Linked DNA regions of Arabidopsis thaliana. The main gene of each other region encodes a partner of the protein of the gene in region 2 in a complex. Each region holds a gene or a part of one and is shown on either strand. Other genes may lie near its edges. The genes, in order: NRB4, AT5G19480 and AT5G63480.

The links.
Region 1: AT5G19480 (region 2) and NRB4 share a complex: the UniProt entries of both Arabidopsis thaliana proteins name them as parts of the mediator complex.
Region 3: AT5G19480 (region 2) and AT5G63480 share a complex: the UniProt entries of both Arabidopsis thaliana proteins name them as parts of the mediator complex.

The regions. Positions count from the first base shown.
Region 1 is NC_003070.9:5,434,419-5,438,175, reverse strand, and holds the start of NRB4 (mediator of RNA polymerase II transcription subunit 15a-like protein), read left to right. Parts: upstream 1-1,557; 5' UTR 1,558-1,822; intron 1,823-1,823; exon of another isoform or gene 1,824-1,962; coding exon of another isoform or gene 1,963-2,020; intron 2,021-2,246; coding exon of another isoform or gene 2,247-2,254; coding exon 2,255-2,367; intron 2,368-2,491; coding exon 2,492-2,603; intron 2,604-2,779; coding exon 2,780-2,897; intron 2,898-2,997; coding exon 2,998-3,757. UniProt on the Arabidopsis thaliana protein: Component of the Mediator complex, a coactivator involved in the regulated transcription of nearly all RNA polymerase II-dependent genes.
Region 2 is NC_003076.8:6,569,665-6,573,421, forward strand, and holds the start of AT5G19480 (mediator of RNA polymerase II transcription subunit), read left to right. Parts: upstream 1-1,836; 5' UTR 1,837-2,163; coding exon 2,164-2,191; intron 2,192-2,279; coding exon 2,280-2,572; intron 2,573-2,720; coding exon 2,721-2,924; intron 2,925-3,033; coding exon 3,034-3,093; intron 3,094-3,226; coding exon 3,227-3,265; 3' UTR 3,266-3,757. Other genes in the region: AT5G19473 (RPM1-interacting protein 4 (RIN4) family protein), read left to right, coding at 1-110, 966-1,016. UniProt on the Arabidopsis thaliana protein: Component of the Mediator complex, a coactivator involved in the regulated transcription of nearly all RNA polymerase II-dependent genes.
Region 3 is NC_003076.8:25,415,685-25,419,292, reverse strand, and holds AT5G63480 (mediator of RNA polymerase II transcription subunit), read right to left. Parts: upstream 2,045-3,608; 5' UTR 1,977-2,044; coding exon 1,599-1,976; intron 1,345-1,598; coding exon 1,252-1,344; intron 919-1,251; coding exon 820-918; 3' UTR 658-819; downstream 1-657. Other genes in the region: AT5G63490 (CBS / octicosapeptide/Phox/Bemp1 (PB1) domains-containing protein), read left to right, coding at 1-60, 159-248, 386-577; NF-YC4 (nuclear factor Y, subunit C4), read left to right, coding at 2,209-2,961. UniProt on the Arabidopsis thaliana protein: Component of the Mediator complex, a coactivator involved in the regulated transcription of nearly all RNA polymerase II-dependent genes.

The DNA.
Region 1 (3,757 bases), on a different chromosome or scaffold from region 2:
CATTTACACATAGACAACCTCTGTCATAAGAAAAGTTTCTCTTTTGACTTATAGGACATGTACACTTGACAAGTTAGGTGAGTTTGATTGTTTCTTAGGTAATGATACTGAAATTTACATTTGTTAAATATGTATAAAACCTTCAACCGGTTTTGTGTTTTGTTTGATGAATATTATGTGATGATTATTCTAAAATCCCCTATAATAAAAAAGTTATAAAAAAAAAAAAATTTTTAGTCTGATTATATTTATATCATAGTTCATTAACAAAACAGTTAAAATAATTGAATTAAGAAAGGACACAAATGTATTTCAAAATTAATTGAAAATCGTCTTTATTTGCTTTTATTTTTAAAATCAGATTATTAAGGATTTTATTCCTTAACTATCTACATATACATTTTTGCAGTCATTTTAGCAAATAAATCTTAGAGTTGGACTTATTTACAACCCAATGCCATTAACATTAAATATTTTCCAAAATAATTAATTTTACTTTAAATTTTTAATTTAAATTGTCAATCACATTATCAATCAAATTTAATCCAAACAAACTTCACATCAATCCCTTAAAATTAGCATAAACGTATTTTATTAACTATATTTTAAAACAATGTTTTTTGTTTAAATAAATATTATTCTTACTAAACGTTTTTTGTTTAAATAAACAAATCATGTATTTGAACTTATTTACAATGTCATACTACTGACATTAATTATTTAGGCATGAAAATATTTATTTAAGGATTTAAATCTTCTAAATTCTTGCTTTTAGAGTTATTATATCATTACCTAAAAGGCAAAAAATATTAATTTTTTAAATATTATTATTTGTATATTTAAACTTCATAAAACATTATCAATATTTGAATTTATAAAAAGTTTAATTTATCAAAAAAATTAACATCATTATATAATATATAGAGTTTTAAAAAATCTCAAAAAAAAATTCGTCATATTTTGTGATTCGAAATTTTAAGAATGAACATATATTAACCAATTGGCGAAAAATGTGTGGGTTCAATGTCACGCAACGACTAAAATATTTTGACAATGATTCATAAACATATTATAAATAAGATCAACATTAATAAAATAAATAGTTTTTTTTTTGGACGGGTTTGGCAGGACATGTTTGGTAGGACGGATTTGGCAGGACGTTACTTAGTAACAATGGTAAACTATAAAATAATTTACAAATTTTATATATATTAATTTTTAAAAATGAATTGTCTCCGCGGTGTATCGCGGGTTAAAATCTAGTAAGGTTTATTTTTCCAACCTATAAAATTATTAATAAAAAATGCTGTTTTGTTAAAAAAAACGTAAACAACATATGTGACTTAATGTACTTTTATTATATCTAATTTTATTATCACTTTATAATCACTTTTCTAAAACGTTTTCTAAAATGAAACGAAAAATATATAATTTATTTAAAATTGAAAAATAGTGGTCATATTATCTAGTTAACAAATTTCTAATACATTTTGCACCAATGCTACCATATTTGAACTGGGAAAACTATACAATTATACATGTGGTAATTAATACTAGATTTTTTTGTTTATTTTGAAAAAAAAAAAAACTTGTTATAAGCGAACTGGTAGGCTCGATTATGATTTACGACGCGAACAAGTTTCCTCTGTCTCTTTACCTAGAAGATCCTATATTCTTCATTCGTTTTTCGATCAAGCTAAACCCTAAATCCAGCTCCAATTTCCCCTTTTTCTCCTCTGTTTTCCTAATATCAAGCCCTAATCGTTGTACCAACCTTGACTCCGTCAAACGCCAAATCTCCTTGATTGGCTCTGAATTTGAGGTGAAATGTTCGAATCTCGTTTTTTTTTCTGTTGTTCTTAAGCCTTGCTTTTTAGAGTTTTCTCTTTTGATCGGGATTCCAAAGAAGATAAAGTATCTCCCTTTGTAGTTGGGTCTGGTTTATTACAATTACGAGAATAGATGAACTTTGTTGATGTAATAAAGTTTGCTTATTTTGAGTTCCTGGATTCTCGTTCCGGTGGGATTGGCTATTTGATGTTTTGAGTTTATTGCTTTTTGCTACCAACATTAGAAAGAATGAACATTTTGGCTGATCAATAAGAAATTCTGAGTGTTAATCTAATCCATGTTGTGTGGTCATTTGTTTCCTGTTGATTTGGGATAATCAGTTGTTATATTGTCATGTTTTGGTTTCTCTGTATACTTACTATTGATACTTTGCTCTTCATGGCTTGTAAACACAGAAAACTTGATGGATAATAACAATTGGAGGCCTTCTCTTCCAAACGGAGAGCCTGCCATGGATACAGGTGACTGGAGAACGCAATTGCCACCTGATTCTCGTCAGAAGATCGTCAACAAGATGTAAGTCACTCTAGCGGCGTTGTTTTGTCTATGCCAGTCAAATACTACAGAAATAGAAGGTTATTATGTTCCTTGACCAATAGTTAGTTTGTTTGTTTTACTTATTTGCTTGCCACTTGCGCAGAATGGAAACACTAAAGAAGCACCTTCCATTTTCCGGACCAGAGGGAATTAACGAGCTCAGGAGAATTGCAGCTAGATTCGAGGAGAAAATTTTCAGCGGTGCTCTTAACCAGGTTATTATGAACATATATTCTTGTTTCGTTAGTATGGTAAATATAGAGATTTGTGAGGCAATGGACTCCACAACATGGAAAAGAACTGACTTTCGGTATCTGTAAAGCTAAGCCACAATATGTTGGGTATGAAATCCATGTATACCTTCCTGATACTCTTTTATATCGCCTTTCAGACTGATTACCTTCGGAAAATATCAATGAAGATGCTGACAATGGAGACTAAATCACAAAATGCAGCTGGTTCTTCCGCAGCTATCCCTGCCGCTAATAATGGCACATCCATAGATTCGAGTAATCACGATTCTCAAGCATGAATTGCTTAAGTCTGTTTATCTGGTTTTATGGCTAATTGTTCCTCTTATTTGATGCTGTTTAACCTTTCCTTGAATAGTACCCACCAATCAAGGCCAACTTCTTCCAGGATCGTTATCAACCAATCAATCTCAAGCACCTCAGCCGTTGCTGTCCCAAACCATGCAGAATAATACTGCCTCTGGAATGACGGGTTCTACTGCTTTACCATCTTCCATGCCACCTGTTTCTTCCATAACCAATAATAACACCACAAGCGTTGTGAACCAGAATGCCAATATGCAAAATGTAGCTGGAATGTTGCAAGATTCATCTGGGCAGCATGGCCTTTCCTCGAACATGTTTTCAGGACCCCAAAGGCAGATGCTGGGTAGGCCACATGCTATGTCTTCACAGCAACAACAGCAGCCATATCTTTACCAGCAGCAGCTACAGCAGCAACTTCTCAAGCAGAACTTCCAGTCAGGGAATGTTCCCAATCCCAATTCGCTTTTGCCATCACACATTCAACAACAGCAGCAAAATGTGCTGCAGCCTAATCAACTGCATTCATCTCAACAACCTGGTGTTCCAACATCTGCGACTCAGCCCTCCACTGTGAACTCAGCTCCTCTCCAAGGTCTCCACACCAATCAGCAATCAAGTCCGCAATTGTCTTCTCAGCAGACGACACAATCTATGCTTCGTCAGCATCAATCGTCGATGCTAAGGCAACATCCGCAATCACAACAAGCCTCTGGTATCCATCAGCAGCAATCTTCATTGCCGCAACAATCAATTTCTCCTCTACAGCAGCAGCCTACACAATTAATGCGGCAACAAGCTGCAAATAGCTCAGG
Region 2 (3,757 bases):
GTGTAAGACATTCTAGTTTGGGAAGCGAACAAGAACTCATGGTAAGTGTTCGTCGCAACCACCAACAACTTCACCATCGCCATGAAACTCAAGACGATGACCCTGTCATGGTAATTAAATTATCTCTCTCTACTTACTCTTCCATGGATTCTTTGGTTCATATTCACCTTGTGATGATCCTTTTCCCCTTAGTCAACGCGCATGGATCATCACAAGGTGGTATAACAATTCAGGAATTGATTTTCTCTTTGCGTCTTTTGTTTGTTTTGTGTTTTTGCATGCGCCTAAAAAGAATATTTCATTCCATTTCTTTCTTAACTCAGAGACATAATTGAACCATGAATGTTATTCAACTTAATTATGAGTTAATACATGCATCATAGTATCAGGTCTCATTTATGAATATGTAATGATAGTGTATCTTTAAATTTGATGTTATAGTGTATTGGCTTGCAGTTTGTTTCCATGGTTTTGAAATGATGTGTTTTGTTCGAACAATGAATTTATAGTTCGTTTCCATTTTCCCATTTTCTACTTTCTTTTTATTTGTTAGGAAAACTTTGTTTTTTTTTTTGCATTTTTTCCATAACATTTCAATAAGCAACCATATTTTAACATTATATTCCCACCTAAGCTAAATTTCATTACTTCTATTGTTAGATAAAAATATAATTAAACCAACTAAAAGTCTGAATCATATTATAATCTTTGCATTATGTTTTAACTATATGTTGGGAGTTACATAAATTTGTTTTGCTTGGAGCCTCCAAACTTTGAAGAGGCAAACATGAACGAAATGTACACTGCTTTTCTAGAGCGAATATGAAAACTCCATCTCTAGTTTGTATAACAGTCGAAATCACCTTGTTATACGAAGCATTATGCAATATGTGAAATGTATTAAGAGGAAGCATGTTGTCACCGTCATAAGTCTCTCTAACATTACTAATTTAATTACCATGCAGAAGAAGAAGAGGATCTTGACCTACATTAATTGTTGTATAAGGCCAAACTAGGGCTTTGTTCTTCTACAAAGTCGGAATCTTTCTCTCTTCAGCGATATAGCAAATATGTCTCAAGTGTGTAAAGACAGTAGTGTAACGTTTCTGTAATCTTCTTTATCACACACAAAAAAAAAAAACGTTCTGTTCTATGTGCATCATCTATTAAGATACCCCTGGTTGTGTTGTGTTGTGATACATTTTGACTTCTTCCTACATCATACGAGAACAAAATAAAACATGACTTAACCAAACCGTCAGATGCAGAATCCATTTAACTAATCTTCGATAAATTGAGAATTGTCGGATGATCATAGTTTTAGAAACAAGAGTTAAGAAATCATGCATTGATTGCTGGTACGATTTGGCCATTTGGGTGATTTTAGCTTTGGTTAATCATTCTCCAACTTCAATATAAAGGATCCGAACAATAGCAATGACTAAACGAATCACTTTTTGGCCTTAGCAAATTGGTCTTAATTATTTGGCCACAAATACACATACATATGACCATATGAAAAACAGTGGCTATCTTGCAACTGAGTGCCACCACCTAATCGTGGCCATATCCACTAACAAGTTGACCACCGTCTTAATCGGTGGCTATTGACGATTGCAACAAAAATTATTTGACGGCTATATTAGCATTTTTTTTTTTTTTTAACTATGTGATTAAAAATGCAAATTATAAGAAAATTGAAATTTTTATTAAAATAAAAATACAAATGTAAAAAAAGTCGTTGTGAAATCTGTAAAGTTGATCATACGCACTATGAAGCGCGTGAACCCCACGCGGTAACCCGTATAAATAACAAAATTTTGGACGAAAAAAAAACAGAAGAAGAAGAAAAAGAAATCGCGATTTTATAACGCCATTGTTTGAGGAAACTCCTAATCCATTCTCAAACCCTAGTTACTTCCTTCTCGAACGTTCCTCGATATTCCCGCGGGAAATTCACGACCAAGAGCAATCCGTTTTCCAGATTAGGGTTTATATCTCTGGGTTGCGATGAGATCTGCCTCGTGAAGTCATGTATGGCGGTGATTGATCTTTGCTTCAGCTTTGTTTTCGCTTTTCGTCAAATCTTGAGCTTATTGAGCTTTGGCTTGTTTGGTTTTCAAATTCCAATAATTGCAGTTTAATCAACAACAACAAAAAAATATGGAATCAGAGAGCGTTAAGTTTGGAGGTAAATTTGGTTTCCAAGCTTTGATTTTTGTCAAGTTTTATTATTTTGGGATTTGAGGGTCAATGAGCTTCTGGGTTTCTAAGTGCAGGTCCTAGAGAATTGGGTGGTGCACTAGATCTTATAACACAATACAAGTTGTTGCCACACCATGAATTCTTTTGCAAGAGATCACTTCCAGAGTCACTGTCAGATGCTCATTATCTTCATAATTTGGTTGGAGACACAGAGATTAGAAAAGGAGAAGGAATGCAATTAGATCAGCTTATTCCTAATGCATCACTTAGTAGCCGAGATACGAATGCTCGCATCCAACCTTTTGTTCTTGATGAACTTAAGGAGGCTTTTGAGCTTAATGATACAGCTCCTGTTGAATTGCCTCCAGTAAGAATATTGCTCTCTCTGTTTAGATTTTAACTTCCTGTAACATCTAGATCTTTTACTAACCATGATAAGTTGAATTACTTCCAAGTATCTTGTGATGATAGTTGAGCTAGGTTTGAGAATATGAGATCTCCTGTTCTTATTTCAGGCAGAGAAGGGAGCTCCTACCACTGTATCAAAATCAAAAAGTGAGTCAAAAGATAAGGATAGGAAACATAGAAAACATAAAGACAAGAAGGAGAAAGATAGGGAACATAAGAAGCACAAGCACAAGCATAAAGATAGGATCAAAGATAAGGATAAAGACAAGGATCGAGACAAAAAGAAGGAAAAAAGTGGACACCATGATAAGGTTATAAAACTGTCTGCTCTTGTTGGTACCTAGGCCGTCTATATATGTATATTTTGGATTCTTAAATTCGATAGAATTGACGTGGTATACGCTATCACTTTACTTTCAGAAAAGGAAGAACAATGGGACTGAAGATGCTGATGACGTTCAGAGGCACAAAAAGAGTAAGGTAATATACTAATGGCAATGGAGGCATCTCCTTCTTTTTAGTGAAGCTGAATTTAGAAGTTTCTGGTTACTCGCACATTGGTGTTGCTCTGCAAATTTTATTTTTGTCGGCCCTAAAATTAACTTTTTTGCAGCATAAGAGCTCAAAGCTTGATGAGATGGGAGCGATGTAGGTTGGAGGCTGAAGCCGTGCACACTTTCATTTTTGTATTGCACACCCAAGGTGTCATGGAGAGGCTTAGAAGCAGCTAACTTTGTTAGGTAACTCGGTCACTAGAGTCATCTTCTCATCTTTAGATAACGCACGTTTCTCATATGGGGCTGCGTCTGTCATAACCAACGGTACTGTACATGATGAATATGATTGAGTCAACAAAGCTATGGTTGTTTTAAACATGAAGAAATAATTATTGTCTAAGGCTTATAAGAAGATAACCTGGAACTCTAGCGACCGAGAGTGCACTAACTTTATTTTGGAGTCTCAAATAATTAGAAATGTTTCTATATGGTGTAGATTTGTCTCAACATAACATAAAATGATTTGGATTTGGTTTTGCAGGTTTAATCTCTAAATAAAAATTGCATTGTGGGAGAAGTTAGGAGGGGTTAAGCAACGAAAAGTTCGCCAAGAAGAATCACAACTTGTACATTTTGTTACACTTTAA
Region 3 (3,608 bases), about 19 Mb from region 2:
ACCGCGATCATTCAGAGGGTAGGGGATGATATCGATCCAGATAACTTCCCCCAAATTTTGGTAAATATTTTCTTTTACATAAAGACTATGATGCAATCATTATCTAATTCTTCTCTTGTCACCCCCTGAATTGTTAAAATGATGGTTATAATGTGCAGTATGAAGATGAAGACCACGATAAAGTGTTGTTGGCTTCAGATAGTGACCTTCAAGCAGCCATAGAGCATGCAAAATCAATTGGCTGGAAGGTAAAAAGAACGATTTCCTCCTGCTTTAAACTTTTGGTTGATAAGCAACAAGAACCAAAGTCGAAGATGAAACCTTCATGAGATTGCCCATAAACCCCTTTTGCTTTCTGAATTGATTTGATCATTATAAATTGCAGAGTCTGAGATTACATTTGGATGATTCAAGAGAAGGCAAAGGAAGAAGAAGGAGAAGAGCATCAGGATCAGCAGAATCAATGGAGTATGTAGAGACAGACGCTTGGGCTGCTGCTTATAGTGGAGTTGCGGCTGGTGCAGCATTAGTAGCTGGTCTTGGTTTTATGGCTTTTCTCAGAAAATTCGGTCATTGATTCCTCAGAAACACTACAAGAAGTGTTTCTTTAACAGATCAATACAAACAAAAAAGAAAAACAGACACAGGGTTTGAAGGTTTTGTCTGAAATATTTTTATATACAAAAGTCATTTTTGATTATTTTTTTGGCTTCATGATATCAAAATAACAAATATCTAAAACTAATACATGGAGTAATTCAAGAACAAGGCTTAGAATCTTTGTCTAAACTGATCTCACTATTGTCAAAAAAATAAAACTCAAACAGAACAAGGGCTTTGCCATGTAGAGATATCTGCTATAAGTTCCCGAAGTTTATCTATAAGTTCTTTAACATGAACATTCTTCTTTGCAATCTCCTGCATGAACAAAAGCTTCCGTTTATTAATGCCAACAGAGAAGAACAATATAATCACTTCCCATAAGGTTATTAACATAGAAATCAAAATGACCAGATGGCTGAAATGTATTCAAAAAATTATCAACATTTCCATGGTTCTAGAACCGCTTAAGCTATAATGATACAAACACTTACACTAGACAGTGGGAAAGAACACTTTATACAAGAAAATATGAATCAAATTCAATGCTATGTGAGTTGAAATGTACAGAGAATTCGAGACTGAATAGTGTATCAATGTAGTAACATCAGATTGAAAACAAAGAGATGTAGAAATTGCAGAAAGCTTTACCATTCTGAGACTTAAGGCTTGCTCCTCCAATTTTTCGATCTCGTCTTCACTTTCAGGAGATCCTAAACCATTTTGCATTTCAGATGCTTTTGCCTGTAATAGATGAACAAATTCAAATTTATGAAACCTCAAAAAAGCTCTCATTTAAAATTAAGCAAGTTCACTACAAGTGAAGAACAAGACACTCAACAAGCATTAGATCCTTCATCTAAACTCTCTATCGATTCGAAGATTTCCTAATCTAAGATCTCAAAACACCCTAGGAATTCAAAATTTCCTCAGTCCAGAAACAACTCAGAACAAAACACTTCTCGAAATAGTTAGTAACATCACATTATGTTCAATACCTTCTGCGAATTTGGAATCGCAGCAAGAACAGCACGAAGCGAAGTCACTGAGTTCTTATACCGAAGACTCGCCTCATCCAAAACACTATTTCCACTTCCTCCGCCCCCGCCACCACCAGCAGATTCCGAATGATGCGATGTTCCATCAATCGCAGCCGCATCGGCGGAAACGAGAGCCGAACCATTAGAACCCGTCGTCGTCGCGGCGGAACTCGGGGTAGCTGAAGTAGACCACAAAGACGGATTACAAAGCTCATCATTCATGGCTGAAATTATCTGAAACGCCGCTTCAATAGTTTCTTCCAATTGCTTCTCTCCTTCCATCGCTAGCTCCTGTGTCGTCATCGTCGTCGTCGTCGAGACCTGTTTCTGCAGCATCACCGTGAACACACTTTATCACGGCGTCGGTTGACTAAACTATTAATACGATGTCGTTTTAATCAAACTATATAATATATATATCAATAATATAGTTTTTATAGATAAATAAAAATAGAAAGAAATCAGCTACATCGCTGTCTACCTTATCCACTATTACTCCAATCCATATGACAAAAACTATCTAAAACGTTAGTTTGATCTTTTGATCCAATCACAAGGCAAAGATCCAATGGACAATAACAACAACAACAACAACCAGCAACCACCACCAACCTCCGTCTATCCACCTGGCTCCGCCGTCACAACCGTAATCCCTCCTCCACCATCTGGATCTGCATCAATAGTCACCGGAGGAGGAGCGACATACCACCACCTCCTCCAGCAACAACAGCAACAGCTTCAAATGTTCTGGACATACCAGAGACAAGAGATCGAACAGGTAAACGATTTCAAAAACCATCAGCTCCCTCTAGCTCGTATCAAAAAAATCATGAAAGCTGATGAAGATGTGCGTATGATCTCCGCCGAAGCACCGATTCTCTTCGCGAAAGCTTGTGAGCTTTTCATTCTCGAACTTACGATTAGATCTTGGCTTCACGCTGAAGAGAACAAACGTCGTACGCTTCAGAAAAACGATATCGCTGCTGCGATTACTAGAACCGATATCTTCGATTTCCTTGTTGATATTGTTCCTAGGGAAGAGATCAAGGAAGAGGAAGATGCAGCATCGGCTCTTGGTGGAGGAGGTATGGTTGCTCCCGCCGCGAGCGGTGTTCCTTATTATTATCCACCGATGGGACAACCGGCGGTTCCTGGAGGGATGATGATTGGAAGACCGGCGATGGATCCTAGCGGTGTTTATGCTCAGCCTCCTTCTCAGGCATGGCAAAGCGTTTGGCAGAATTCAGCTGGTGGTGGTGATGATGTGTCTTATGGAAGTGGAGGAAGTAGCGGCCATGGTAATCTCGATAGCCAAGGGTAAGTGAATTCTAGTAATATTCAGCAATGTAGCTTGTTGCAATTGATTATCTATGGTTATTGAGATTCTTCATGAGCTTGCTTTGATTAGTCTTAGAGGAATTTGCTGCTCTGTGTCATCTTCATTGATTCTCATCAAATAAGCTAAAAATTGATAATATCAAAGAAGCTCAATTTACAGTATCATCTGGCTCATTTCTTTAGATTCATAAACAAAACTTTGTAAAATACACAATTTTGATATCCATTATTTGATTTGACTCACACCTTTGATTATTTGTACAATGTTGTGCAGTTGAGCTATGGAACCAGAAGCTTAGAGATTTAATCATCATTTCGACCCTGCAAGTGTCTGATTCTTATATGTCTATGATTCGAATGACTTACTCGAGAGAGAGAGAGAGATCAAACAAAACAAAACAAAAAAGCTCTTTTTCATTTTTCCTGTTAACTTATAAGTTATTGCAGCAAAACTGCAGACTTGCTTAACTATATATTAATCTAAATGTGCAGATTCTAATCTATGCTTTGTATTTTTGTTGATTCTTGCTCCTAATCTAGTAATGATCAGAGCTTATGTATGGCATATTGAGTTTGTATTTCATGGCTTGTAGTAGCTTTGAGTTCTCTGTCTCTTATAATAACTTCTTA